Oryctolagus cuniculus: one gene and its partners. The protein of the gene in region 3 purifies or fractionates together with the protein of the main gene of each other region. This does not show direct contact. Links are inferred from orthologs where the notes say so. Each region holds a gene or a part of one and is shown on either strand. Other genes may lie near its edges. The genes, in order: SCFD2, SNAP29, STX18, SCFD1, RINT1, SEC22B and NBAS.

Evidence for each region.
Region 1: the proteins of STX18 (region 3) and SCFD2 purify together in Homo sapiens (co-immunoprecipitation; 3 studies listed by BioGRID and IntAct, counting the BioPlex papers as one, with this or other methods). This does not show direct contact. The link is inferred for Oryctolagus cuniculus from reciprocal best matches to the Homo sapiens genes STX18 and SCFD2.
Region 2: the proteins of STX18 (region 3) and SNAP29 purify together in Homo sapiens (affinity purification with mass spectrometry; 3 studies listed by BioGRID and IntAct, counting the BioPlex papers as one, with this or other methods). This does not show direct contact. The link is inferred for Oryctolagus cuniculus from reciprocal best matches to the Homo sapiens genes STX18 and SNAP29.
Region 4: the proteins of STX18 (region 3) and SCFD1 purify together in Homo sapiens (affinity purification with mass spectrometry; 5 studies listed by BioGRID and IntAct, counting the BioPlex papers as one, with this or other methods). This does not show direct contact. The link is inferred for Oryctolagus cuniculus from reciprocal best matches to the Homo sapiens genes STX18 and SCFD1.
Region 5: the proteins of STX18 (region 3) and RINT1 purify together in Homo sapiens (co-immunoprecipitation; 6 studies listed by BioGRID and IntAct, counting the BioPlex papers as one, with this or other methods). This does not show direct contact. The link is inferred for Oryctolagus cuniculus from reciprocal best matches to the Homo sapiens genes STX18 and RINT1.
Region 6: the proteins of STX18 (region 3) and SEC22B purify together in Homo sapiens (affinity purification with mass spectrometry; 5 studies listed by BioGRID and IntAct, counting the BioPlex papers as one, with this or other methods). This does not show direct contact. The link is inferred for Oryctolagus cuniculus from reciprocal best matches to the Homo sapiens genes STX18 and SEC22B.
Region 7: the proteins of STX18 (region 3) and NBAS purify together in Homo sapiens (co-immunoprecipitation; 5 studies listed by BioGRID and IntAct, counting the BioPlex papers as one, with this or other methods). This does not show direct contact. The link is inferred for Oryctolagus cuniculus from reciprocal best matches to the Homo sapiens genes STX18 and NBAS.

Annotation. Positions count from the first base shown.
Region 1 is NC_091439.1:110,848,506-110,852,378, reverse strand, and holds part of SCFD2 (sec1 family domain-containing protein 2), read right to left. Parts: intron 444-3,873; coding exon 324-443; intron 1-323. UniProt on the Homo sapiens protein: May be involved in protein transport.
Region 2 is NC_091452.1:29,626,582-29,630,454, forward strand, and holds part of SNAP29 (synaptosomal-associated protein 29), read left to right. Parts: intron 1-285; coding exon 286-482; intron 483-3,873. UniProt on the Homo sapiens protein: SNAREs, soluble N-ethylmaleimide-sensitive factor-attachment protein receptors, are essential proteins for fusion of cellular membranes.
Region 3 is NC_091433.1:4,725,642-4,729,514, forward strand, and holds part of STX18 (syntaxin-18), read left to right. Parts: intron 1-2,298; coding exon 2,299-2,414; intron 2,415-3,873. UniProt on the Homo sapiens protein: Syntaxin that may be involved in targeting and fusion of Golgi-derived retrograde transport vesicles with the ER.
Region 4 is NC_091443.1:44,681,028-44,685,473, reverse strand, and holds the start of SCFD1 (sec1 family domain-containing protein 1), read left to right. Parts: upstream 1-1,380; 5' UTR 1,381-1,457; coding exon 1,458-1,515; intron 1,516-4,446. UniProt on the Homo sapiens protein: Plays a role in SNARE-pin assembly and Golgi-to-ER retrograde transport via its interaction with COG4. Involved in vesicular transport between the endoplasmic reticulum and the Golgi.
Region 5 is NC_091434.1:138,816,724-138,821,032, reverse strand, and holds the start of RINT1 (RAD50-interacting protein 1), read left to right. Parts: upstream 1-1,170; 5' UTR 1,171-1,330; coding exon 1,331-1,363; intron 1,364-1,719; coding exon 1,720-1,831; intron 1,832-2,224; coding exon 2,225-2,409; intron 2,410-4,309. UniProt on the Homo sapiens protein: Involved in regulation of membrane traffic between the Golgi and the endoplasmic reticulum (ER); the function is proposed to depend on its association in the NRZ complex which is believed to play a role in SNARE assembly at the ER.
Region 6 is NC_091438.1:50,431,444-50,435,316, forward strand, and holds part of SEC22B (vesicle-trafficking protein SEC22b), read right to left. Parts: intron 3,828-3,873; coding exon 3,667-3,827; intron 344-3,666; coding exon 197-343; intron 1-196. UniProt on the Homo sapiens protein: SNARE involved in targeting and fusion of ER-derived transport vesicles with the Golgi complex as well as Golgi-derived retrograde transport vesicles with the ER.
Region 7 is NC_091433.1:187,577,086-187,581,747, reverse strand, and holds the end of NBAS (NBAS subunit of NRZ tethering complex), read right to left. Parts: intron 1,026-4,662; coding exon 750-1,025; 3' UTR 626-749; downstream 1-625. UniProt on the Homo sapiens protein: Involved in Golgi-to-endoplasmic reticulum (ER) retrograde transport; the function is proposed to depend on its association in the NRZ complex which is believed to play a role in SNARE assembly at the ER. Required for normal embryonic development.

The DNA of each region.
Region 1 (3,873 bases), on a different chromosome or scaffold from region 3:
CGGGCAGGAGAAAGGACCCCGCCCAATCCACTTTGCCAGCAATGACTTCTACTCAGGGCTCCTCTGCTTAGCGCCAGCGAATTCGGCCTGTCAGGATGGACACCGACAATCCAGTCCCCTCTCACGGTGGGCAAGGGGTCTCCAGGGGTGCCAGGCTGGGCCTGAGAGCCAGGAACAGGGAGAAGGTGACCGGACAGCCGCGGGTGGAGGGGGCGCAGGCTGGGAGAGGAGCGCTGGGGCCCTGGGCGAAGGGCCTTGGCCCACCCTCCCCACAGCCGCCCCTGGCCTCTGGATTCCTGCACACATCGTCACGAGCTCAGTACCTGGCTCCCGGGCTTCAGTGATGCCACGAGGTCTTTGACCATTTTGGCTTCGGAGACTGTGACCCCGCCCACCACGAAGAGGATCAGCAGGGGATGGTCACTGGGATGGGGCCGGCTCACCTGCAAAACCAAACACGCCAGCATCAGAAAGATGGCATAGGTGTGGCCGCGGCAGCCCGTGACATGGCACCGGGGGGCCCCAGGGAGCCTCCCGCCCAATGCAGGTGACCCCGACAGGGGCCATCGTTAGCAATCCACTCTCCCTCCACCCCACCCCGCACTGTTGCAGACGATCATGCCACGCTCACGTGCCAGATTCGCTTTTTTTTCCGCTTGCGTTTCCTTGGAGATACGCATCGAAACATGCATCTGTCACAAGCATGCAGACTCATTTTCCCAAAGAGCACAAACCCGAGCCACCAGCCGCAGGTCAGGGGACAGGAAACCGGCCCTGTGGAGCCCTCTCCCTGTTTCAAGGTCGCCACCATCTTGCTGTCTAGCAGGCATTGGCAGGGGCACACCAGTGGGCTCTGGTCTCCGCCCTGCCATCACACTGAGGTCGAGTCACGTGGCACCTCGGGCGTCCTCCGTCCCACCTTTGCAAAGTGCCCCCCACGTGTCCCCGGACGTGGCGAGTCGGGGCCTCTGCTGACCCCTTCTGCCAAGCACCTCGAGCTCCTGCGCCCCGCCTGGCTCCCGCCCTCCTCAGCCCTGGCCTTGCAGAGGGGCCTGCTGCCCTGGGCAGCTCCCGGAGGGCGCGGGCAGGGCAGACTTCTCTTGCTGTTCTCCATGCCGATCTCAGTGCCGGGCAGGAGGCAGCTTTTCAGGAAGTGGGGTGAGAACAAGACAGAATGGAGTGAGGCAGGTCCCGGGTCGACAGGAAACCAGCCTTCCCCTCGCAGGGGCGTCTGGGAGACTCTGTCGGCTTCACGCGACTCTCCTGGCTGAGGGATGGCCCCAGAAGCCGGCCAGCCCTGCACGCCACTGCTGCTTCTCACCGAGAGCTGGGACAGGACCGCAACCGGCTCCCCATGGTGCATGGCGCAGTGCGCTCCCAAAGACACACGTTTCCCGAAGGAGTCTGCAGCCCAACTACACTCCCAGCCTTGGAGGGCCGGGCTGGCCGATGGAAAGGCGGGAGAGAGACAAACACACAGCAGCAACCAGCGCCAGGCCCGTGGCTGAGGGCAGCGGGGCCCCAGGAATGCCTTCTGGGGTCGGCTCTGTGGCCCCGAGGGCGTGTGAAGTCGCGAGTGCAACACCCAGTCTTTTCTGTGGGAAATCCAGGTTCCTTCCTGCGTGGCTGAGCCCACCTTAGGCAGGCCCGGGTGACGGGCACTGCAGACGACTCGCATCAGGGCTGTCACAGACAGCGAGTCGGGGCCTCGCTCTCCCGGTCTCCCAGGGCTTTGCTGAGAACATTCACTGCATTAGTGTCTCCTCCGTCCCATCCCAGCTTGGCAGAGGTGCGGGACCCTCTCCGTGGGCGTGGGCGTGGGCTCCCATGAGAGTGCCCGGAGGCCCTGGTGGAATCTGTCACCTGGATTTGGAGGGAAGGGTCCCTGCTGCTCCCACGGGCACCAGGACGGGCACTTCCCTGCCACTGATCGCTTCCAGTCGACGGCTGTGCTTCTGATCCATTCACGCTGTCGACCGATAACTTGCAGCGCAGTTCCTGGGGGCCAGGGACTCAGCAGTGGACGGAGCAGGCGGGGAGGACCACAGGAAGTCACTGCTGCTGTAAGCCATGTGTGGGAACTCCTGCTGGGGCGGGGAGGGGGCCAGCGTCCAGTGCTCGGAATCTATCAGCAGGTAGGGGCAGCCTCGCCTCACAGGGACAGACATGGAGGCTCGGGGCTGACGCGGCTGTCCGAAGTCCCTGGGCTGCAGAGCTGTAGGCCGGCGCTGGAGCCCGGGTCTCTCGGCAGAGCCTGGCCGGGGCCACCTGACGGTCTGCACGCTGCCATCAGGAAATGAACTCTTGCAACATCTGCACCAGCGCCCGTCTCTGAAAACTGTGAGCGCTCGGTTCTCTGCGAGCAGCAGCCGAGCGCCGCCGGCTCCTCCGGGGGCGCGCCCACCCCGTCACACCGCCCGGTCACACGGCGGGGGTGCCCGGCTGCCAGGACGCCCTGCCATGCACCTGTGTCCTGCTGTGATGCCCCGCCCACCACTCGCTCCATGGCTGCCCTGGACCATGGACGCCGACCCCTCCACAGCTCAATGGCCCGCACACGCCACACAGGCCCTGTGTGGGTGTGGTCACGGGTCCCTCAGCTCAACCAGCCTCAACGGCAAGTTCCTTCTTGTCCATCCAGACAAGCGTGGACGCCCTGCACCCCCGACCAAGTGATGACCTCCTCTCATTACTGCCTCGCCTGCTCTCTGTGTGCCCGGGGACCGCCCCCCTGCCCTCGCTGCCTCCGCCCTCCCCACCTTCCCTGCCACCCTGATGGCCGCCTGGCCCCTGTTCCCCTCACCCTGCTCCAACTCCTCCCGGTCTGGTGAGTCCAGCCCCTCCTCCCTGGCCCCTCCCTGCGGCCCTCCATCCCGCTCCCTGGCAAGCCGTGGGCACCGTTCACCACCACGCAAATGACAGACCGCCAAAGCCAGGCTCTGTTTCTGTTTGACCCTCTGCACCAAAGCCCCTCCCACCAGAACCGCGGGGCGGACTTAATGAATGCCAGACACAGAGTGAACCCCACCTGGCAGCACCAAGGGAAACAGCAACAGTGGCTATAAATAGCGCTGCAGGCGACATCCAGGCCTCGCTGATTGCATCGGCAGAGGTGCATGCTGGGACGCTTTCCTCTGATCAGACCCTGTCCTGAAACAGCACAGCCCCAGGGTCCCGTTTCATGTGTGAACGAGCAGCCGCACTCCGTGACCTCCGCGGTGTGTGCACCTCTCCCCGTGCAGGGGTCTCACACGAAACCCGTCATTTCCACCAAAAGCTTCCCCCAGCCCTGCCGCAGAGCCCGCGGTAGGCGGTGGTGCACCCCAAAGACAGCAGTCTCCCCTGTGCACGTGGCAGCCCCTGGCCGTGGTGAACCGGTCCGGACACGGGGCTCTGAACCAGGCTGGGCCGACCACGGACCCATCACTGGCGCCAGGTGAGGCTCAGCCAAAGCTGAGTTCGAGAGGAACGGCGACTCGGCCAGTTGCTCGGCTGCTACTCCCGGTCCCCGCACGTCCCACGGGGTGGCCTGTGAGCCGGCGCCGAGGCCCCGAGGGTGCTGCGTGGAGAGGGCCTTGGCCCGGGCCCCTGGAGCAGGAACGGATCCTGGCAGCTGCTGCAGAACACAACACGTGTTCCTTCCTTGCTGGCTGCCCTCTGAGCTGGGCCACCCAGGAACCCCAGCTCTGCAGGGCCGAACGGAGGGAGACACGGCGGCTCGTGCTGGCCCAGGGACTGCTTCAACTCCTGCCGGGGCAAAGGCCGCAGGGGGAGAGAGGGGCTTCCGATCAGAGGGAGGCGCAGAAGCCACGCGGGAGTGGACTACAAGTCCACGAGGGTTGTTTTGGTCTCGCTCCAGGAGTGAGGCCAGGC
Region 2 (3,873 bases), on a different chromosome or scaffold from region 3:
CAACCCAGTGGGAGACCCAGAAGAAGCTCCTGGCCTCAGATCAGCTCAGCTCCAGCCGTTGCAGCCATTTGGAGAGTGACCCAGCCAGATGGAAGTGCTCACTCTCTCTCTAACTATGCCTTTCAAATTAATAATATAAATCTTTTAAGCAAAAAATGATGACGTGCCCTTCACAGGTGACAGCGTCTGCCCCGACATGTGCTTCGCATTTATGGAGTACCCACATGTGGTTCTCATGGGCCAGGGAGAACTACCAGAAGGATAACTGCCACGTGTCTTTCCTAGGAGCTCGTCCGTCAGCGAGGAGTCTTAGAACGCACGGAGAAGATGGTGGACAAGATGGACCAAGATTTGAAGACCAGCCAGAAGCACATCAACAGCATTAAGAGCATGTTCGGGGGCCTTGTCAATTACTTCAAATCCAAACCCGCAGAGGCGGCCCCTGAACAGAATGGCACCGGCACCCCCCAGCCCAACAGCAGGTGAGTGTAGCAGAAGTGGGCTTTGGCGTGAACGGAAGACTTCCAGGCCTTGGCCGAGCCATGAGGGGATTCAGGAAGCCTGTAAGTTATACTTCAGGAGGGTTTTGTGTTAACCCATCTTCCCACGCCTGATTATATGTATTTGATTGGCACCTAGTCTGCAGATTGTGCATAAGTTGGGTTTCCAGTAAATTCCTGCTATACTGATTGTCACCCCAGTACTGAGAGTGTTCACCTCAGAAAGTTAGATCAGGCTGTAAGGGACTCCCTACACAATATCTGTACTTTATTTTTTTAAAAGATTTATTTTATTTATTTAACAGACAGAATTACAGAGAGAGGTAGAGACAGATAGAGAGGTCTTCCATTCGCTGGTTCACTCCCCAGATGGCCACAATGGTCAGAGGTGTGCCAATCCAAAGCCAGGAGCCAGGAGCTTCTTCTGGGTCTCCCACGTGGATTCAGGGACCCAAGCACTTGGGCCATCTTGTACTGCTATCCCAGGCTGTAGCAGAGAGCTGGATCAGAAAAGGAGCAGCCAAGACTAGAACTGGCGCACATGTGGGATGCCGGTGCTTCAGGCCAGGGCTTTAACCCGCTATACTGCAGAGCTGGCCCCAGCAGTATCTGTACTTTAAAAAGTCATTTTTCCCACCCAGGTGTTCTACATATAATTCAATTTGCCCATTGCTTTTCACTTTTTTATTTATTTTCATTTACTTAAAAGATACAGGGGCAGACACTGTGGCACAGCAGGATAAAGCCCCAGACTGCAGCACTGGCATCCCATATGGGCACTGGTTCAAATCCTGACTGCTCCACTTCCAATCCAACTCCCTGCTAATGTGCCTGGGAAAGCAGTAGAAGACGGCCCAAGTCCTTGGGCCCCTGTAGCCACGTGGGAGACCCGAAAGAAGCTCCTGGCTTCGGATTTGCTCAGCTCCAGGCATTGAAGCCATTTGGGAAGTGAACCAGCAGATGAAAATTTCTCTCTGTCTCTCCATAACTCTCTTTCAAATGAATAAAAACAAATATTTTAAAAAATAATACAAAAGGCATAGAGGGATTTTTCCATCCACTGGGTTACTCCCCAAATGCCCACAACAGCCAGGGCTAGACCATGCTGGAGCCATGAGTCAGGAATTCCATACAAATCACCCACAGAGGTGGCAGAGCAATAAGGCCTTGAGCCGTTGTCTGCTGCCACCTGGGAGCCTCAGCAGGAAGCTGGACCTGAAGCAGAGGAGCTGGTCCTCAAACCAGCACTCTGCTGTATCGGGCTGTAGTCTTCCCTGAAGCTGAGTGGGTCTGGGAAGAAAGGAATGTTGGTAAAGAGCCAGTAATGGTAGCAGAGAGAAGAGGTGGGGGAGGCTCCGGGCGTCTGGATCGGACACTGCAGGGAGGAAAGCAGGCCTCTGCAATGCCCTGGGGCTACTCCCGTAGATGCACCAGGGTTGATTTGTCTGGCTTAGGCCCAACCACCACTTCGCGCAGATTTTCCAGCTTGACCCTGATTTTAATTAATTACTTCTGAGATTTATTAATTCATTTATTTGAAAGGCAGAGTTACAAAGAGAGAAAGAGGGAGAGACAGAAGCAGAGATTTTGCATCTGCTGGTTCCCTCCCGAGATGACCATAACAGCCAGGCCTGGGGCAGATTCAAGTCACGAGCCAGGAACTTCATCTGAGTCTCCCACGTGAGTGCAGGGGCCCAATTACCTAGGCCATCTTTGCTGTTTTCCCAGGTGCTTTAGTAGGGAGCTGGATCAGAAGTGGAGGAGCCGGGACTCAAACCAGCACTCATAAGCGATGTCAGCATCACAGGTGACAGCCCTACCTGCTATGCTGCAATGCCGGCCCCGACCCTAACTTTAAATCCCTGTCACTCTTTCTCATAACAGAATTGGGTTTTCCTTTGGCTGCTTTTTTTTTTTTTTTTTTTTTTTTTTTGACAGGCAGAGTAGACAGTGAGAGAGAGAGACAGAGAGAAAGGTCTTCCTTTTTTGCCGTTGGTTCACCCTCCAATGGCCGCCACGGCTGGCGTGCTGCAGCCGGCGCACCGCACTGATCCGATGGCAGGAGCCAGGTACTTATCCTGGTCTCCCATGGGGTGCAGGGCCCAAGTACTTGGGCCATCCTCCACTGCACTCCCTGGCCACAGCAGAGAGCTGGCCTGGAAGAGGGGCAACCGGGACAGAATCCGGCGCCCCGACCGGGACTAGAACCCAGTGTGCCGGCGCCGCTAGGCGGAGGATTAGCCTAGTGAGCCGCGGCGCCGGCCTTCTTTGGCTGCTTTTAATTATAGATGAGTATCCCTCATCAGAAATGCTTGGGACAGAAGTGTTACAGATTTTAGTTTTTTTTGGATTTTGGAATATTTGCATAGACTTTACCAATTGAGCATTCCTAATTCCAAAATGCTCCAAGATCTAAAACTCAGCAGCGCTCAAGAAGTTTCAGATTGGGGGCAGGGCAGGAGTTGTGGCACCGCAGGTTAAGCCACACTTGGGACACCTACATCCGATGATGGAGCACCAGTTCAAGTCCTGGCTGCTCTGCTTCTGATCCAGCTCCCTGCTAATGCTCCTGGGAGGCAGCAGAGATGCAGCGAGTCAAGTACTGGAGTCTGTGCCACCCACCTGGGAGACCCACATAGAGCCTGGCTCCTGACTTCAGCCTGGCTCAGCCCTGATTGTTGGTCGTTTGAGGACTGACCCAACAGATAGAAAATCTCTTCCTCTCCCTCTGCCACTCTACCTTTGCAAATAAATAAATCAATCTTTTTCTAAAAAGGTTTAGGGTTTTGGAGCATTTAGGATTTTAGGTGTTCAGGCTAGGATGCTCAACCTGTGCCACAGGAAAGGTAGGATGTTCATTTAGTTTATTTTTTTTTTAAGATTGATTTATTTATTTGAAAGTCAGAGTTACACAGAGAGGAGAGGCAGAGAGAGAGAGATCTTCCATCCCCTGGTTCACTCCCCAAGATGGCTGCAATGGCTGGAACTGTGTGATACGGAGCCAGAAGCCAGGAGCTTCTTCTGGGTCTCCCCTGTGGGTGCAGGGGCCCAAAGACTTGGGCCGTCTTCTGCTGCTTTCCCAGGCCACAGCAGAGAGCTGGATCAGAAGTGGAGCAGCTGAGTCTCAAACTGGCGCCCATATGGGATGCGGGCACTGCAGATGGCAGCTTCACCCGCTACAGCGTCAGCCCCTCATTTAGTTTAGAATGAGACAGCCTCCCTGCACAAACCCAGGAACTGAGCAAGTCCTTGGAGGAGTAGAAAGCTGGCGAGTTGGTGATTGGACCCATCCTTGTCCCATGTGCCTCTTTACACAGGCTGCTTCCCAGGGATCTTGGAGGCCTCCACAGCCCCGAATTCTGCTACAAAAGCC
Region 3 (3,873 bases):
GGGGAGTGAGGGAGTAACACACGCACACAGCCCCTAGGGGAGTGAGGGAGTAACACACGCACACAGCCCCTAGGGGGAGTGAGGGAGTAACACACGCACACAGCCCCTGGGGGGAGTGAGGGAGTAACACACGCACACAGCCCCTAGGGGGGTGAGGGAGTAACACACGCACACAGCCCCTAGGGGGGTGAGGGAGTAACACACGCACACAGCCCCTGGGGGAGTGAGGGAGTAACACGCACACAGCCCCTAGGGGGAGTGAGGGAGTAACACACGCACACAGCCCCTAGGGGGAGTGAGGGAGTAACACACACACACAGCCCCTAGGGGGAGTGAGGGAGTAACACACGCACACAGCCCCTAGGGGGGTGAGGGAGTAACACACGCACACAGCCCCTGGGGGAGTGAGGGAGTAACACACGCACACAGCCCCTGGGGGAGTGAGGGAGTAACACACGCACACAGCCCCTAGGGGGAGTGAGGGAGTAACACACGCACACAGCCCCTAGGGGGAGTGAGGGAGTAACACACGCACACAGCCCCTGGGGGAGTGAGGGAGTAACACACGCACACAGCCCCTGGGGGAGTGAGGGAGTAACACACGCACACAGCCCCTAGGGGGAGTGAGGTTCCCACAAGCACCACTCAGCAGACCAGCTGGGCGAGGAAGGAGATCTTCCACATGCCCCACTGTGCCCTTCAGCTGAGGGCACCTTTGGGAGAAGCCCCGTGCCAAACCCTGCCAAGCTGCTCCCCAGGCCTGACCCCTGGCACCAGGTAGTGAATATGTGTCCCTCCAGGGTCTGAGTCGTGTTAACTGTGCCGCAGGAGCATTAGGAAAGAGTGGTGCGATTGGAGCTCCGGAGCACTCTCTGGGCAATGTAGAGGAGCAGGTCCCAGACGTCCTGGCCTGGAACGCCAGTCTCAGAAAAACCTGACAAAGAAGGCCGTGCATGTGGGTTGTTTGGAAGGGACTTCCTTTTTGGAAATTCAGACGATTTTGGCCTAGACAAAGACTTGTCTAGGGAACACCCACCTGGCGTTGGCGATCTCTCTCAGATCTGCATGACCACAGAAGCCCTCCCGTGTGGTGCGTGGTGATCAGACACGGCTGCGTGGGGCAGGGCCTCAGCCCATGCACTTTGGAGCTGGGTCCTGTCCTGTCCCAGCCCAGCAGGTGCTGTGAAGGCTACCTTAGAGGGAAGTTTTGGAGCCAAATCAATGCAGTGGTATAAAATGCTTAGAAAGTGCCCAGTGCATAGTGCCCTCCAGAAATGCCGGCTGGCATGCGCCATGCTAGCGTACATTCTGCTTGGATCTGTGTGCCTGACAGTCAGAGCTTCTTTACAGGTCTTTTTACACTTTTCTGCCTGTGATTTTCTCGTTATGTTGATTCTAGTAAAGCTATTACAGAGCCCTCCGTTTCATAACCAAATTTTTTTCTCTCTTAGTAGCCGTTTACAGATATTTGTAAAGCACTCAACATACAGCTCGAATGCCAGGGACTCATGCAGGACGCAGGGCTAAGGAGCAGACATGACTTAGGGAGGCAGAGACCTGCTCTCAGTGCGGGCACTCAAGCGAAGGAGGCAGTGAACAGATAACGGGGGGTGACAGACCACGGTCACGGCTGTGGAGAGAACCAGCAGGTGCTGGGGAGAGAGGGGCCCTTCTCAGGTAGCAGTCAGTGGGCGAGCCTGAGCCAAGCCCGCAGCCAGGAGGGAAGACCCAGCACCGCCCCGCAGCAGGAAGAGCCCTGTGGGAGGGCGAGGGCCAGGCGCGGGCAGGAGCTGTGGTTCCCGAGCCAAGCGGGTCTCACTGAGTGGCCATCTGAGGGCTAACACGTCCTTGGGAGCGTCACACACAGCGTGCATGTGGAGATGCACACGTGTTGACAGCACTCCTGCTTGATTGTGCCAGTGTGTGGCTGTAAATCCAGCTTTCTGGACTTGTTGAACCCGGGCCAGTCAGCCTTCACCACCCTGGGCTGAGACAGGGGTCAGTCTGTGGGGCACGGTCAGCACTTAGCCACTGCACCCTCCTCTGAGGTTCGGCGCCACCTGGGCTAGGAGCGCTGAGGGATGCTCAGCCCCGCCCCCGCCCCCACCCCCGCCCCCGCAGGCAGCAGTAGCTGCTCCTGCAAACAGGGCTGTGTCCACTCGGCCCCGGGGCCCAGAACCAGCGACTGCTCCCCAGAGGACATGGAGAGCAGACGCAGGGGCCACGTGGGACTCCCTCTCTGTCAGGAAGCAGGCCTGTTGTGAAGGGAAGGCGGTGACTGCTAATTATTATTTGCAGATCTAAGCTGGAACCAGAACCAAATGTGAAAACAAGAGAAGCCATCTCTTCCGAGAAAGCGTCACCGAATCCTTCAAAGGACTCTGGAGAGAAGCCTGCCTCTGAAGAGTTCCCAGGTACGAGCTGAGACGCACACCTTGGGCCGGCACCGCGGCTCACTAGGCTAATCTTCCGCCTGCGGCACCGGCACCCCGGGTTCTAGTCCCGGTTGGGGCGCTGGTTCTGTCCCGGTTGCTCCTCTTCCATTCCAGCTCTCTGCTGTGGCCTGGGAGGGCAGTGGAGGATGGCCCAAGTGCTTGGGCCCTGCACCCGCATGGGAGACTAAGAGGAGGTGCCTGGCTCCTGGCTTCAGATCAGCGCAGCGTGTGGGCTGTAGCAGCCATTTGGGGGATAAACCAACGGAAGGAAGACCTTTCTCTGTCTCTCTCTCTCACTGTCTAACTCTGCCTGTCAAAAAAAAAAAAAAAAAAAAAAAAGCACACCTTGCCTCGTGACACGTGGGCACCAGGTACAAAGCCGGACACAGCTCATACCTGTATACGCAGCGCTGTCACAGCCTGCAGGAGTCGCCTGTCCACTGGGAACCGGGAGGGGCCCGTGGGAGCTGTGTATTGGCCGGGTGTGGACTGGAGCCTCTGACTCAGGAGGAGAGAGTGGGGCGCTCTGCTCAGGGAGGCCCCGGACCTGTGTCGGGGGGTGAAATGTGAGTCTGGGGTCCCGTGCTTACGTCATCCCCGAGACTACAACAGTTCTGACACACACAGGCTGCCAAGAAATACAGGACTCCACCAAGGCAGCTGTCATGGGCGCCGGAGGCTGTGTGTGCGGCCAGTTCCCCTCCGCCACGTGGGGAGAGCCACCGCAGCTCACCGGCTGAGGCGTGGCCGGGCAGGGTCTGCTCTAGTGGCTCATGGGCGGTGCGCTGGAGCAGGAGAGCTGGGCGTCCTCTCCAGCACCCTCCCCTTAGTGCGCTGTGGCCCTGCTCACTCCTGCCTCCGACCGCGGGATCGGTCCTGCGCGCTCGCACCTTGTCACCGTCCTCACAGCAGCCCCGTGGCCGAGATCCGTGAGCCTCCTTCACAGATGATCCTGCGCAGCCCGGGGGCTGGGCAAGCCGCCTCATTTCAGAGCCCTGAGTGGTGGGCGCGGGGTGTGTGTGGCTCTGTGGATGCCCAGGCTGCCCTCCAGCTAACTGATCTGCGTTTGACAGTGAACTCTGTGCCTCATAGCGTCTTTTAAGATGTATTTGTCTATCTGAAAGGTGGAGTTACAGAGAGGCAGAGGCAGAGAGAGGTCTTCCATCTCCTGGTCCACTCCCCAGATCTCCTCAGTGGCTGGAGCTGGGCCAATCTGAAACCAGGAACCAGGAGCTTCTTCTGGGTCTCCCATGTGGGTGCAAGGGCCCAAGGACTTGGGCCATCTTCTGCTGCTTTCCCAGGCACACTAGCAGGCACACTAGCAGGGAGCCAGATAGGAAGTGGAGCATCCGGAACTCAAACCCATGCCCATATGGGATGCCAGCACCGCAGGTGGCAGCTTTACCCCCACACCACAGTGCTGGCATTGGGTCGTAGC
Region 4 (4,446 bases), on a different chromosome or scaffold from region 3:
TAAGCTCGTTGGTTGGGATAGTGTTTATTTCATATGTGTATATATTGTACATAAATGGTAACACTGTCGTAGTATTTTATATTAATATGACTCCAGTGGCCTTGAGATGGAGTCTGTGATGGAACCAACGTGGTTAGATAGAAGACAGGCATTTGAATATGCCAAATTAAAGACTGACCTCTCAGATGTTGGAAGGAGGAAAGGCTGTATATTTTACATTCCATGGAGTCCACAGAAGAAAACAGAACTTTTCCATAGGCAGGAACTCACATTTCTGTTGAATTAAAACACACCTAGATGATTCACAATGTCTTTTAAATAGTATTAACACTAAAACCGATACATATCTTAGTTAATTTGTTAATGACTATGCCAATTGGAAATAATCAGATAATGTAGATTCAATACTAACTTAAAAGTAGGGTAACTTGTTTTAAATGTCATATAAATAAGTAACTTATTTGTGAAGCAGATGTTTAGTGTTTCATCACAGAGTATAAATAACGTTTTTTTCTGTTAGGATAATATAATTTTGAAAGTTAAATTTTTGAGGCATAGTGATTTTGGAATTTGATGCAACTTCAGAATTAACGTTCGACAGCTGATGCTATGTCATCAATGAATTCTACTGAACATGGGAAATGTCAATGCATCCGTTTTTGACACCCAATAAAATCTAGGGGTCATAGCAATCCATATTGAATACATTTTGTGATCACATGGCTTCAAGTGTGCATTCAAAAGCTTGTACCACAATTCGTATCCCACCCTCCACCTCAAGGTAATGTTTTGTGAGTTTGCAATTACTGAAAGCAAAGATGAGAGTTTGCTGTGGTTTTGTTTGTTTGTTCTGTCTCTTCCCGGCTCCTGTGCCTATGGAGGCAAATCTCCACCACACTGGTAGGCCATTTTATCTAAAAGAAGAGATTGAGAAAACTGCCAAATTAGAGCCATGCTCCAAAACTTGCTGAAAAAGGAAAGGGAAGATTGCTGCTGCTACACCCGGAAACGAGAAAGCTAACGTTTAGGTCTACTTTGTTTCAGAAGCTTCTTTTACTTTAGTCCATCCTGCGATCATCACGCCCATACCTATACGCTAGATTGTTACCACAAGGTAAAACCTCTTCAAAGGACGAGGCTGACTCGAGTATTTAAGCACTACACCACGCTCCTACCCTGAGCTCAGTTTAGAGTAGATATCATTTGAGAGCATACGGCTTGGTTAGGTTAGAAATTCCTACTATTCTGCAGCTGGAGAGTAAAACCAGTGAATTCAAGCGCTAATCAACGCTGGAAATGCAAAGTTTAAGTACAGAGTGGTGGCGTGGGAGCGTGGCCCGGAAGAGGCGGGGTCCCGCCGGCAGCACCGCCTTTCGTCCCGCCCCTCCGGGCTCTGCTTCCGGGGCGTTAGGGGTGGCCACGTCATCCTCGGGATCCGCTTGCCAGCCGAGCGGTGGATGGTGGGAGGCAAGATGGCGGCGGCGTCAGCGTCCAGTATTCGGGAGCGGCAGACAGGTACTGACTCCGTTCTCCCCGCAGTTTCATGCGTGCGCGGGGTCGTCTTGTGCATGTACCCTTATTCGGTCGTGGCGCGTGCTGCAGAGACTGGTCACTAGGAGTTTAAACCAGCAAACCAGAGCATCCAGAGCTCCTCCCCTTCGAGTTTTGGGGAAAGCTGGCATTAGCCGGAGCACCCAGTGCTTCACCTGTGCAGCAGGGGACGGGGCTTCAGGACTGGAGCCGTTGCTCTTGTCACAGTGCTGCGCTTGCCACCTTCCTTCTGGACCTCGAGAGGCTAGACAAGATCTAGCAACTGATGTTTTCTTTGCTGTGTTGCCAGCTTTGAAGTGTCTGGGTTTGTGTGCGTGGTTCATTCCTCAGTCTTACTATTGAAGGCGCTCCAGTGGCGCTTCCAGCGCAAGGAAAGAGTTCAGGTATTCCTTTAAGAGCGGCTTACTTTGTGTGACTTCTCTCCTGTGGGCCAGTCTTTTGGGAATACCTGAGGAAAACTTCCTGGGGATAAAGATTTCCTTCAGCTTGCGGAGAGGTCGAAGAATGGGAAAGCAAATGCATAGTTCTCCCACTGTAGTTGTTTGACAGGTTAGTGTTTTAAAACAATGTATTACTGGTTTTCTCTTCAATACTGCATGTTTATATAACTTCCATTTATGCAGTGAGGTGTGGTAAGGAAAAGACTATCTATTCCTGCGTTTTGATTTTCTCTTAATCTTAGATATTTTTAGTTTTGTTACTTGTAAAGTTTTGATGGTAACTTAGCATACACCGGTTAGCTACAAGCTAATGTTTTGCACCTGTTAGCTAATTGTCTTGAAAATTGTCACGCTCTGAGGCGCTTATAGAAACCAGCCATCAAGAATGCTCTCCCGGCTAGCTGGAGTTTCAGCTGCTCCATTTCTGACTCAGCTTCCTGTTAACAAGCATCCTGGGAGGCAGGAGTACATAGCTGAGTGCTGGGACCCTTTGCACCTGCAGGGAGACAGGGATGGAGTTCAGGCTCCTGGCTTTAGCCTAGCTGTTGGAAGCATTTGGGGAATAAACCAGCAGATGAAAGATACACGTGTGTGTGTTCGTGTTCAAGTAGATGAAAATACATAAGTATTTTTAAAAGAATGTGCATACTTGGAAAGTGTGGCTCCTGAGATCATTAATAGGACCTACAGAGGGATTTGGCTTGCACTTCATTCCTTTGTCATTTAAAAGAAAAACTGATTGACTTAAGTAAGGAATTGTGTTACATGCTTTTCCCAGCATATAATTTTAGTAGGACCTATCTGATGAGGTCAAGCATAACTTAAATGTAGGAATGTCCAGATAAGACTTGAGAAATAGCTGTTAATTGTTTTCTCTCTGTAAACAAATAGAGATCCACTTATCATTATGATCCTGATAGCTTAAGAAAGCTAAATAAACTCATATTACATATTAAAGAAACAATGTGTCAGTGAGACTACCAATATGATAATTTTTGAAGCTTTTGTATAGCATTGCATTTTTGTGTACAGAAATTCTGTGAAATATTAGAATCTAATACTAAAGATTGGATTTCTACAAAAATAAACTTCACTACAGCAAGATTTAGGTCATGCTAGATCAGTTACTCATCAAATGAGTACTATAACTGACATCTCATTTTCAGGAGAAGGGAAATCTCTGTATGTGTTATGGTGTCAGAAGTAAACATTTGTTTGCCTATTTAGAATGTTTTGGGCCGGCGCCGCAGCTCACTTGGCTAATCCTCTGCCTGCGGCACCCGCACACCGGGTTCTAGTCCCGGTTGGGGCACCGGATTCTGTCCCGGTTGCTCCTCTTCCAGGCCAGCTCTCTGCTGTGGCCCGGGAGGGCAGTGGAGGATGGCCCAAGTCCTTGGGCCCTGCACCCGAATGGGAGTCCAGGAGGAGGCACCTGGCTCCCAGCTTCGGCTCGACAGTACACCGGCCGTAGCGGCCGTTTGTGGGGTGAACCAACGGAAGGAAGACCTTTCTCTCTGTCTCTCTCTCTCTCTCTCACTGTCTAACTGCCTGTCAAAAAAAAAAAAAAAAATTGGCAAATAAGTCACATGATGTATTCTAGAAATGAGATAAATTGATAACAAAGGAATTTGCAATCAATTTGAGTAAATGAGAGCATAACTGATGTATGTTGAGCATTTAGTATTAATTGAGAACTGCTGGTTCACAGCCACAGTGGCTGCTTCTGAGCCGGGCTAAAGCCAGGAGGCTGGAACCCAATCCAGGTCTTCCTCGAGTGTGGCAGGGACCCAACAACTTGAGCCATCACCTGCTACTGCTCAGGGTGTGCGTTAGCAGGAGGCTGGAATTAGTAGTAGAGCCAGGTCTCGGACCCAGGCACCATGGACACATGTCCAAACAGGTGTCTCAACTACCTCTCAGCATTTACTGTTGCCAGGTACTATGTTTGATGATTTTATATGTATTGTTTCTGTTTTACAGATGAGGAAGCCAAGGTACAGAGAGGTTGGCTAGCATACTTGTTTCTGGCTCTACCTTCTTGAACAATCTTTATTGATGTTTTAAAATCACCTATTCCAAAGCCATCTCCTTTGTGAAAGCTTCAGGATCACTCCCTTTTCTCTCTTCAAGTTCAGCAGGCAGAATCAGTTGTTTCCTCCTGTGTTACTGTTGCAGGTTCTTGCTTATCTCTCCCAGCTCTCAGCGTTGCAGAACCCCAAACTGTTTGGCCTTCTCTGCTGTAGTGATTTCATCTAGCCCCTTCACTTTAAGTACTGTATGTGCCAGTGATTGCTGAGTTTCTCTCTCTAGTCTGGACCTGTCTTTTGAATTCTATGTACCCCATATTCATGTCAACAGCTATTATTGACTGAACATTAGGTGCTTACATTTTACCAAACAACAGTATGTCGCGTCCCTCGACCAGCAAGGAAGACACGACCCGAACTCTTCTTCC
Region 5 (4,309 bases), on a different chromosome or scaffold from region 3:
AGCTAAATCTTTTTTTTTTTTTTTTTTTTTTTGACAGGCAGAGTGGACAGAGAGAGAGAGACAGAGAGAAAGGTCTTCCTTTGCCGTTGCTTCACCCTCCAATGGCTGCCGCGGCCGGCGTGCTGCGGCCGGCGCACCACGCTGATCCAAAGGCAGGAGCCAGGTACTTATCCTGGTCTCCCATGGGGTGCAGAGCCCAAGCACTTGGGCCATCCTCCACTGCACTCCCTGGCCACAGCAGAGAGCTGGCCTGGAAGAGGGGCAACTGGGACAGAATCCGGCACCCCGACCGGGACTAGAACCCGGTGTGCCGGCGCTGCGAGGCGGAGGATTAGCCTAGTGAGCCACGGCGCCGGCCAATAACTAAATCTTAAAAAAAAAAAAAAAAAAAGTTGCATTTTGATGGAAAAAAGTTTTGAAATCTATGCACACATTAAAAAATACCATTAATTTTCCACGAGTTTTTTTTTTGTTTTTGGAAGATTCCTCCTGGTTTGAGTATATTTAGTTTTATTCTCACTGAATGGCTTCTGTTTTCCTAGGCTTTCTGTTTATTCTTATTCTCCCTCCCCTCCTTTTCTTGTCTATTTCGGTCTTTATGGTACCACTTTACTTGGCAGTTTGTTTCTGAGATTGTCAAATACGGGGGCCCATGCCTTACTTCCCGCTAACTCTTGTTCCTCCTCCTTAGCTGAAGATAGGGCTTATTTAGGGAGTCTGGACTGAGCACGGGGCTTGGTGGGCGCTGAGTCCTCTTCTTCATTCAGCAACCAGAACGCTGACCATCCAGCCAGGACATTGGAGAGTGATCCTTAGGGAACTGACCAGCGGTAAAGATCTAGAGATGGTTACATTCATCGGCAATCCCACAATTAAATAGGCGATAAAATACACCTACCTAGTCACTGCCGCTCACCAAGCGCACTCATTTTCAGAACATCTCGATGTCGTCTGAAGCATAAATGTAAATGATTCACTTTGAATTTATGCCGTGAAAGAAGGAGTACCTTCAAGATCCACAATGAAGAGCTCCAATGCTTAGAGAGAGGGGGTACGGGCCCAGCCTTCTCTGGGCTGCCTTGGGGGCGGGGGCTCTCTTCCTGGGCCGCAGTTCCAACCTCCGGCCTGCAGGGGGAGACGGCGCTCAGAAGGCTGCTCGCGGGAAGGACCGCTCTGGCCAAGAGGAAGGAACCCGAGAGAGGCGAGAGGAAGTCGCGGTGTCACCAAGTCCCTTAGCCGCTGAGGCGCGCTGGTTTCTGTCGCTGACCGGAGCGGGACTCCACCAGCCACGCTGGCTGCGAATGGAGCCGAGGACTCGCGCGGAGGCGGGATGCCCCCGATCGGCGATGCGCCGGGAGCTCCGGTGAGTCGTCTCTGGCGACTCGGGGAGGTGACACAAACCTCCCGGTTGTCTTGGTGAGGTGGCGCTGGAGGCTTGTGAGGGTGGTTCCCGCGGCGCAGGTTCGAGTCCCTCGCGGCATTCCCAGGGGTCGTGGTCCCAGTGAGATGACTGATCTCTCCAGGGAGGTGGCTCCGGTGGCCGGGCGAGGGTGGCACAGACTCCTGGGAGGGGTGGCACCAGGGAGGTAGCCCTTTTTCGAAACCTGTATCCGACCGCCCTGGGACTTTGGGCAGATCCCTGTCGGTTCCTTTGGGAGCCCTGTGTTAAGTTCCATCTGCTCCTTTAACGTCAGTGTTTTTGTCACCTTGTTCTTCCAGTGCTGCCCTGAAAGTGGCGCAGAAACGGAGAGCATCGTGGAGGAGAGCAAGCAGGCTGCATCCGCCGTAGCGCTTTGTGTCCCGGCGTCTCTCCCAAACTCAGCCTTCCAGGGTAGGCGGCAGGGAAAGGCGATCTTAGCCTGTTAGCTTTGAGATGAGCTGTTTCTGCGCACTATGCTTATGTAGTACCAAGTATTAACTGGTCTTATATGTGTATGTTTGTCTACAATTGTATAACACGGGTGCTCTCCAGAAGGGCCAGAGCCGGGAATCGAACCCAGGTATTGCAGCGTAGGACGCAGCTGCTAAACTCCCAGGCTACACACCTACCCTCAAAGGTTTTGTTGCACCACAGGAAACTTTTCATTCCATTTTTCCATGAACTTTTTCAGATACCTATATGTATGTAGTATGTTCTTCCATTATTAACTTTTGTATGTTTTTATAATTCCTTTAATTCCCCAGTCCTTAATGGTGTTGAGTAATTGTTATTCTTTTATTTTAGGTGACATAAATAATGTAGCTCTTGTTGAAAGTGAACATGTCAGTGAAAATATAGATAATAGTGAGCTTTCGGCTTACGTGTCTGCATTCATAGAAAAGGAAGTTGGAAATGACCTTCAGTCTTTGAAGAAACTTGATAAACTCATAGAACAAATGACAAAAAATAAAATACAGTTAGAAGAACAGGCAAGTATAATATATATGCATCTTTATTAATATAAACATAGCTAATATTGTGTATAAAATTGTGAAGGTATAGATTGTGACATTTTAAACTGCTTAATGAGTTTTCTTCCCACTCCCTGCTTAAAAAGTTTTTTTTTGCTCAATAAGCTTTAAGGATTTACAGTGTGCTATGTATTTTATAAACTATATAAAAGGGTTCTTACTGTATGATTTATGTCTTTAAAAACGATAACATTTTCATGGCTTTTTATACAGACTTAGAGACTGCTTTAAAAAAAAAAGATTTATTTATTTACTTAGAAAGAGTTACACAGACAGAGAAAGAGAGGCAGACAGAGAGAGAGAGAGGTCTTCCATCCGCTGGTTCATTCCCCAGATGGCTGCAACGGCTGGAGCTGAGCCGATCCGAAGCCCGGAGCCAGGAGCTTCTTCCAGGTCTTCCATGTGGGTGCAGGGCCCCAAGCACTTAGGCCATCTTCTACTGCTTTCTCAGGCCATAGCAGAGAGTTGGATTGGAAGTGGGCAGCTGGGTCTCCAACTGGCGTCCATATGGGATGCTGGCACTGCAGGTGGTGGCTTTGCCACAGCGCTGGCCCCAGAAACTGCTTTTACAAGTAAATTTATGGTAAACAAAAAAAGTTTAAACACCATCATCCCAAATTTTTATAAATGCACACATAGAGGAGAAACATGAAAAGTGTAACATTATAATGGTTTCTTGTAGGTGGTTGGTTGACAGGTGATTTTTTTTCATTTTATGTTTTATTACATATTACTTAAAAGAATTTTTTAAAAACCCAATGAATGTAATCTTAAACAAGTAAGTCCCTATACTTGCAATAATGTCTTTGTTAAAAGATTGTTATTGTGTAACCACCAAAGTAGGTTAAAGTAAGCTCTGTGGGAAGTGGGTATATTTTCTCCAGGTTGTCAGTCCTCTTGTGTTCTCCCATCCAGTCACCTTGGCCCTCCACATCTTCCTGTCTTTTTACCACATCTACTCCACTGCTAGTTTCAAGATTTTGCTAGGCCCTGATGGCCTTTTCTGTACCTGTAGGCAGGCTGTTGTGAGCCCCGTGGGAGGAGGTCACCCATGCAGGGGGAGGGATGCCACCCAAATGTCCGGTTGCCTTCCTGGCTGAGTCTTCAGCCCCACCTAGTGGTCCTTCCGTAGGAATGTGGGCCCTCTGCTGCTCCCCTCAGCTGTGCTTCCAGATTTTCCCGGAGACACTAGAGCTGGCCATTCTGCCCTTTCCCTTTCCCACACAGAAAATACTGAGGCATCTCGCATGAATCGGTCTCCCCCACATGGCACAAACCTGTTTGTAAACATTTTTACCTCTTAATTCAGTGGAAGCATCAACCTAAAGCTGTCTTTGTGTCTCAGCTCATGCCTGCCACCTTAGCGGACTTAACATCACTCCTCAGCCAGTCCTGTTCCCTCTGCTTATGGACATACGCATGACTTTTTCATACAACCCAAACCAACAAGCAAAACTTTCCTCTCATCTTTCAGTGGGAGCTGGCACTTTCCTTTGACTGTCAGTCTGAAGAGTCATCATGTGTCTGCCTTCACTTTCTGATTTGCCATTCGGTCTTTGACTCCCTGTAATCAGGCTTGTTTCCCTACAGACCACAGAAACTTATGCCAAAGTCCCTCATTGAACCTTTAATCCAGCATGTCCACAGCCGTGGATTCCTTTCGGAAAGGCTTCTCTGCCCTGGATAATGGCACCTCCATTTATCTGCCTGTCACTCTGCAACCTCCTAGCTTCCTCCTCCTCACTCCCTACCGCTGTCACCAAGTCATCTGAGTCCTGCCTCCTCGCCATCTCTGGGATCCTTCCCCACTTTCCCACGCCTGCTACTACCACCTCAGTATAGGCCCTCATTCTGTCTT
Region 6 (3,873 bases), on a different chromosome or scaffold from region 3:
TGGCTGGGACTTTATACTATTAATCACGCTATGAGAAAAATAATCAGATTGGAAGCTTTGTAAAAATCTATTTTTTGAGACACGAATTGTTAATAGTCCTACATAGAATCTGACAGCATAAAAGGTATTGCAAAGTGAACTATCCTTGCTCATGGAATAACTACCTCTTTGTAAGATTCATCTTAATCTTAGATACCTGAGAGTGCTTCTCCTCGTTGTAATACTTCTTCAATATTGGCCACCATGATCCTCTGCACATCTTGCAATTCAGTGTTGATGGAGCCTAGGTTTCTCCGAGCACGACTGTCAATGTACAGCTTCTTGGTTTTCTGAATGAAGGTATCTAGATTGATGATGAAAGTTACCATTAACAATTTCTCTCATGTATAGCAAAGTGCTGAAGTAGAGAACTGGATGTTCTGAGTTTATTTCTGGATCTGCCATTGTCTATGGCTAACCAAACTCTGGGAAATATCAAAATCTTGACTTTTTTCCCCCCTTATCATTAAAGATAGGAAGACAGATAGAGGATGTCTTTATGTATTTGTTTATCTGTAAAACACATTGACAGAGAGAGGGAAAAAGAGACAGAGACAGAGACACCTTCTATCTGCTCTTTCAGTCCTCAAAAGCCTGCAACCACTGGACTCAGTCAGACCAAAGCTAAGAGTCCAGAACTCCATCTGGGTCTTGCACACAAGGGCAAGGCTCCAAGTACTTGGGCTATCATCCAGTGCTTTCCCAGGCAGCAGGTAGCTGAATAGGAAGTGAAGCAGCCAGAACTTGAACCAGGCATTCCAATATGGGATGTGGGCATCCCACGTGGTGGCTAAAGCTGTTGCATTGCAACACCTACCTCAAAATCTGGACTTTAACTTCCTCATTTGTACCATGTAAAGATAGAACCAGGTGACCATTCAGAAAAAAATGTCCTTTGGACACTATGAATTCAAAGTATCTGCTATCAGAATTCTCAGAAAAATTAAGACCCATGGGCCCGGCGCTGTGGAACAGCAGGTTAAAGCCCTGGCCTGAAGTGCCGGCATCCCATATGGGTGCCAGTTCTAGTCCGGCTGCTCCTCTTCCGATCCAGATCTCTGGTGTGGCCTAGTATATGTACTGCCGAAGCGAGCACTCTGCTGTGGCCTAGGAAAGCAGTAGAAGATGGCCCAAGTCCTCAGGCCCATGTACCCGCGTGTGAGACCCGGAGGAAGCTCCTGGATCCTGGCTTCGGATCTGCGCAGCTCTGGCCATTGTAGCCATCTGAGGAGTGAACCAGTGGATGGAAGACCTCTCTCTCTGTCATTACCTCTCTCTGTAACTCTGTCTTTCAAATAAATTTAAAAAATCTAAAAAAAGAAAAAGAAAAAATTAAGACCCAATACAGTAAGCCTTTCTTGCAAGCAGAAATTTTCAAACTATATTTGGAGAATACTTAGGGCTTCATTATTTAATTCTACACTTTCCCTGAAAGGTTGCTAACACTCTAGTATTATTTGAACTTAATATGGTAAACGAGTTTATAAGCATCCAAAAAGGTGAGAAGCAGGACAATCATTCGGCCTAGTGGTTAAGATGCCAGTTGGGCCGGCGCTGTGGCTCACTTGGCTAATCCTCCGCCTGCAGCGCTGGCACCCTGAGTTCTAGTCCCGGTTGGGGTGCCGGGTTCTAGTCCCAGATGCTCCTCTTCCAGTCCAGCTCTCTGCTGTGGCCCAGGAGTGCAGTGGAGGATGGCCCAAGTGCTTGGGCCCTGCACCACCATGGGAGACTGGGAGGAAGCACCTGGCTCCTGGCTTCAGACCGGCACAGCACCGGCCGTAGCAGCCATTAGGGGAGTGAACCAACGGAAAGAAGACCTTTCTCTCTGTCTCTCTCTCACTGTCTGTAAGTCTCTCTCTGTCTCTCTCTCTCTAACTCTGCCTGGAAAAAAAAAAAAAATGCCAGTTGGGACACCTGCATTCCATATTGGAATGCTTGGGTTCATTTCCTGGTTTGTTCCCAGGCACATTAGCAGGGAGCAGGACCAGAAGCAGAACAGCCATGACTCAAACCAGCGCCCAAACAGGAATCCGGCACTGCAGGTCATGGCTTAACCCACTGCACGGCAGCGCTGGCCTGGCTGGGCACCTTTTATCCGCCTCTTTAGATCTCCTCTCCACTCTTTTCCACTTTGCTTTCTGGGAAACTGACCTGAATGGGCTCCTCACCCTTAGCCTTCAGTTAGGTTCAGAGACAGTGAGGAAGTCCCAACAGCACGGAAGGAGGAGAGCAGACAGTGAGCTCCTGGCTCCTCCCTAAGAAGTGACTTTGGGCTGGCAAAGCCAAAAGTTACTGCTTCCCTCGAACTGGCCTTCTCTGTAAATTTTCTCCTCCTCAGTTTCTGAATTTGGTTCTTCCCCTTATAACTTCAGGTCTACGGATAATACAACCACAGGTGCATGGTACCTTGGGATTCCCCTACAGCCCATTCTTTTTTTTTTTTTTTTTTTTTTTAATTTGACAGATAGAGCTAGACAGTAAGAGAGAGAGACAGAAAGAAAGGTCTTTCTTCCATTGGTTCATTCCCCAAATGGCCGCCACGGCCGGCACTGCACCGATCCAAAGCCAGGAGCCAGGTGCGGATTAACCAAGTGAGCCACGGTGCCGGCCCTATCCCCTACAGCCCATTCTTATCTCTGTATATAGTTCCCTTATGGTCACTGGCATATACCACTTACAATCTCCCTCGGGCATTTGTCTAATTTTTTTCTTCGCTTTACTGGACTATATTATTACCTAAAAAATAAAATTTGAAAAACTGAACACAATATAAATTAGCACTTGGAAAATTTAGTTATAGAAAACTAGAATACTTTGCTAAATTTTCTCTTTCTGAAAAGCAAATGATCCATATACTAACAAACCTGAAACACGTCAGGGAGTATAACTAATTTCTTTTTTAACTAAAATTTTCTGTGATGTAGCCTGATCCTACTTGTTCTCACTCCCTGTACTTAGTACAGTTAAGACATTTTCTGTGATCTATTGCCATCAGTTACTTGACCCAGGTATTATTGGTGATGAGTCCTTTTTTTTTTCTTGTTAATTTAAAAGGCAGAAGAAACCTAGAGAGAACAACAGACATCACCATCTTCTGGGTTTTGTTTTGTTTTTTTTTTTGAATAGAGGATCTTATTCTACTGTAAAAAGCAAAATATAATTCTTTCTGATTTCTGCATTCTGATCTCCACAAAATGAACCCCAATGTTAATATACAGGGGGGCCGGTGCTGTGCCACAGCTGGTTAATGCCCTCGCCTGCAGTGCCGGTATCCCATATAGGTGCCGGTTCTAGTCCCAGCTGCTCCTCTTCCCATCCAGCTCTCTGCTTTGGCCTGGGAAATCAGTAGAGAATGGTCCAAGTCCTTGGGTCCCTGCAACTGCGTGGGAGACCCGGAAGAAGCTCCTGGTTCCTGGCTTCAGATCAGAGCAGCTCCGGCTGTTGTGGCCATTTGGGGAGTGAACCAGCGGATGGAAGACCTTTCTTTCTGTCTCTCCCTCTCACTGTCTGTAACTCTATCTCTCAAATAAATAAATTTTAAAAAAATGCATCAATATTGTGTTAGTGTAACAAATGGCTTCTTCATATCGTTTGCTTCCTTTTGACAAGTCAGGGTCAAAAACTTACCAAATTCAATAAAGGAGTAAGGTCTAGACACAGTGGGCACCTTCTTCCCATGCTGTTCATCAAATTCTGAGTGCAAATCTTCTAGGTAGGCAAAAGCCAACTTCTTAGGAAAGGCAGCCTCACACAAAACCAAATAACACACTCCCTGTTCAATAATGTAGCTGGAGAAACAAAAAAGAAACACAAAAATCATTTTTAAACAGTAAG
Region 7 (4,662 bases), about 180 Mb from region 3:
CGTACAGGCTAGCTCTGTTATCCACTCACCTGCCTAGACAGCCATCCAGACAGGCAAATGTATCAGCCTCATCAAGCTGCTGCTGGTCCACTGTGAAGGCCTCCATCTCCACTAGGTTTCACCTGTTGGTACTGATCACTTGTGGCCTTACCAAAATTCACACACTGGGACACTAGCAAGGAGGAAGAGAATTCAGATTTTTTGGGTCCCTGTTGTGAATCTAACAGAACCTCACACACACAACCTGACAAAACATTCAACCACTTTGTGAGATGAATAATACACCCTTACTTTTATACACCATAGTCTAAGGTTCAGAGGGGGGTGGGATAATTTGCCCAAGATCACAGAGGTAACTTGAGACTCGAATCCAAGTCTGTCCTTCCTCCACCTAAGGGCACCTGCACAACCACCAGCCATCACACATTCTCCCTTTCTCACCCAGTCCTACCCACCACCACCCAATCTTCTAAACTGCAGTATTTGACAGTTTATTAATTGAATTCTATCCAGAAAGGGTATTTTAAAAGAAAAGCAACACAGGAACAAAAGAGCCAGTCAATAAGGAAGCATGTTAACCTGTCAGTATATGAGAAATCCAAAGTTGAAAAAATGAGTCTGCTCATCATTTACGTACAGCTTTATTGCAGTTTGTTGGAACCACCGAGAACAGTCAGCAGGTAGACACGTTGCTTCTGGGAGCAGCGTTCAGCTCCAGACGCGCTTTTCCTCCCAGGAACATGCGCGGCTCACACCCAGTGCTGTCCGGCACTGAGGGCCACGCTGAAAGTTCTCAAGGCTGGATGAGTCCCCCTCACGGCCAGAAGCAGTGACCCGGCTTCGGCTTGATGGCCGGCCTCCTGCAGGTGTCTGGCCAGCTCCTCTGCATCCCAGCGCCCTTGCTGCAGACTGGCCAAGAGGTGGTCAATGATGTGCGGATAGAAGGGAGTGGAGATGCACTTCACCATCAGTTTGGCATCCAGGAGCAGGGAAAGTAGTTCTTGGTCACAGTTTGAATCATTCACCTTTAAGGAATAAGACAGGCAAAACATCAGAGGGCATCTGCTTAGCCTCCTCTCCCCCAGACTCATCACTGTCTACTGGGCTGCGATGTGTTGCCTTTTCCTCTCCATCATCAAACACACTTCTGTCCAGGTTTAAAAGCATCTGCTCCAAAAAGTGGATGTAAGGTGTGAGCATCTCTGGGGTCACAGACATGCAGGACAGACAAGGTTTCCTCTGGACATTAGGTGACAAGCCATGTACCAAGAAGCCTGTTTGGATCACCGCTACAGCTACCAGATACTCAGCTCCAGACACGGTGGTGCTAAACACTGTACAGGTATGACTCATGCCTTCCCAACTCAAGCCTGTGAAACCGGCTCCTTTACCTCTCAGTTCTACCGTAAGGAAGCCAAGGTGTGAGAATCTGGTTGAACACTGAAGTCATAAATTGTTGGGCCAGAATCTGAGTTTGGGTCAGTCTTGACTGAAAAGCCAGTACTCGTAACCACCACATTGCCACGTCATTTGTCATTTCACTGTGGTCTATATTCTTTAACCCCAAATCTCTCTTGAATGTAGATCCACATGAAACAAAATTCTTTCCAAAATAAGACAACCTTTATTCTAATCCACTGAGAAAAGAATGTGTCCTGCAACTCAGTTACATAATAGGAGTAGCAACAGTGGGCTTGCGCTGGTCTTGTCCCACTCTCTCTCTCTGAGGCTCAGCACCAACTGCACGACTTTAAAAAGCCTTTATAGGCTCCTTTAGCTTGCATATCCTCTATTCTTTCCTTCTCCCTGGTCTTATCTTCATGTCTATGTGTGCTTTTCCATGGTTTGGATATCTTATTTAGATTTTTTATTTTATAAAATTGTCCATGTTTTTGTAAGAAATCAAGTCAATACTCATACCAAAATTCAGAGCTTCTCATCTACATTGAGTTGTGACAAAACTGCTTCATGACAGGCTCTTCCTAATGTCACTATGTATTTTTAATAATTTGATTGTAGGAACCTTAGAAATAATGTGGCATTTCAAAGCTAATTAATGTTTAGACCAGTGATACCTTACAATTGTACATGATGCTCTCTTCCCGCCTGTTCTCTGGCAAAGATGAGAAGGCCAATTGTGTTTTTGGCTGCAAGAATTTAAACAGAAGGGCCTGGTGTTGTAGCACAGCTGGTTGGAATGCTACTTGCAATGCCAGCATCCCACATGAGTGTCAGTTCAAGTACTGGCTGCTCCACTTTTGATCCTACTCCCTGCTAATGCACCTGAGAAAGCAGCAGAGGATGGCCCAAGTAGTTGAGCTCCTGCCACCCACATGGGATACCTGAATGGAGTTCTAGGATCCTGGTTTTGGTCTGGCCCACCCCCAGCCAATGCAGCCATTTGGGAAGTAAACTAATAGATGCAAGATATCTCCCTCTATCTCCTTTTCTCTTTGTAACTCTGCACTGCAAATAAAATAAATGTTTAAAAAAATAATTTAAGCAGAAGTACTGAGAATAAAAGTTACTACTCATGGGGCAGGGATAGCAGTTAAGATGTTGTTGAGATGCCCGCATCCCATCAGAATGTCTGGTTCAAGAACTGGGTCTGTTCCCAACTCCAGCTTCCCACTAATGTGTCTCCGGGAGGCAGGAGGTGACAGCTCAAGTAGTCAGATCGATGTGGGGAACCTGAATTGAAGCCCTGGCTCTTGGTTGCAGCCTGTCCCAGCCCTGGGGCAGTGGATTCAGTCAATGGATGGGAGATTTCTCTCTCAAATAATTTTTTTTCCAAAGTTACTTCTGACTTGCAGATAGTATAATTCCTACAATCCAGGAATCATTCAAAACCCAACAGAAACATCGGCTTTCAATGCCATCTTCTTGGTGACATTGTTAATCCTCCTGGCCAAACTGATACCGCCTTCCATCAGTCTCAAGAGTACGCATGTGTAACGAGCCCAATGGATGTCTCTTCAGGCAGTACTGTAGTGATTTTATCTCTCTCTCCTCTGTCAGACTAAGAGAATCTGAAGGAAACGAAACTTATCATTTCTCTATTTCAGCATCCAGTTTAGTCACCATTTGTTACATGGCTGAACGAACCTATGTGGGGAGCAATCCGGACTGGACTGAGTTACTGGAATTAAGACTTATTCTATGCATCTGCTCTCCCACAATATGGCGCTGGGAGAGAAGTAAACAGCTTCTACACAGCTGCCTCCAGTTCAGCTAATAAACTGTAGGACTTGCTCCTGATTGGAGGAGAGCAGCGTACTCGGCGTGTGGGCAGCCGAGTTAGGATTGGCAGAGGAGGACTATAAAGGAGGAGAGAGACGGCATGCACCAGGAACACCTAAGGGGAACATCTAGCTGAAGGAACACCTGTGCAGCCCCCGAGAAAGCCGGCCGGCGGTGTGCCGCTCCCCTGCAGAAGTGGGGAATGTGGCCAGGGGGAACTGCCCTTCCACGGAGGTGGAAGGGATAGTAGCCAACCCGGGAAGAACCAGCAGCAAACCCGGGGAGGGCCGAGCAGACGAAAGAACAGCACAGGGTCCTGTGTCGTTCCTCCATGAAGAGGGGGAGCGACAACCTACATTATTAAACTTTGTCACGTTTTGGTAAATGGCACAAGTACACGATGATGGCTGTGTCACTGCAGAGAATAGGAACAGAGCTAGACCTGTCCTGAACTGAGGTGGCTCCCAGCCTCCCTCAGAGTCTTCTTTCTATGGACACAGGCATACGCAACTCACCTACTTCGGTCCCAGGAAGACACTTTGCTGAACTCAATTTTGTTTTGTTTTAAAAACTAGGTGGGAAAAATAGCAACTGATGCAAAATTCCAGCTTTCCCGATTAAAGAGGCACAGAGCTTTCAGTACTCCCCATTGGCACCGCCCAGGAGTTCTGCGTGCTTTGTTCCAGGAACACAAGAATGGCCATCCCACAGAGCCCTGCCCTCCCTAAGTGTCTGCTGCTCACCTCCCATTTTCCAGGGCTTTGCAGGGCACATCCTGGCCAAGCTTTCAGACAGTTTCTCGATGAGATCAAAGTCACCCATGGAATGCCATGTGGCTATGTCAGGAGCCTCGCCTCTCACTACTTGACTTGCTCAGGGTTTGCTCCCCCAGAACGTGGTCTCCTCAAGAGCAGAGACCTGGCCGCCTCAGCTCACCCAAATCCTCCACGACCAGAATGGGGTGTCTAGCCACCAGGTGTGTGCACGGTGCTAAGGCAGCCTACAAAGCTAGCACATGAGGTAAGGGATCTGAAGCCTCCTTTGGCTCTGAATATGAATGTGGGTGCAACTGTGTAATGAGGGCAAACAGTGCCAGTTTGCAAGTGACCGTGTCAGAGTCCAGTTGTCTCCATTTTTCTTCTTTTTGATCAAAACTAAAGATTCCAAAAAAGCTCACACTATGTACCAGAGAAATGGGATCGTCTTACCACAGGCTAGGAACAACAGGCTTCGAGGGGCAAATACAAGAGTGAATGGAGAACAGCGAAGTGTGTGTTCTTTCCCTCGGTACTGCCGCCTCCTCCTGCACTCACAGATGCACACCCACACCCACACACCCAAACATGCACGTGTGAGGCATCTGAGTTAGTGTCTGTGTTGCTATTTTAGTTTGCCCAGGAGAAATGAAGCCTCGTTGCACCC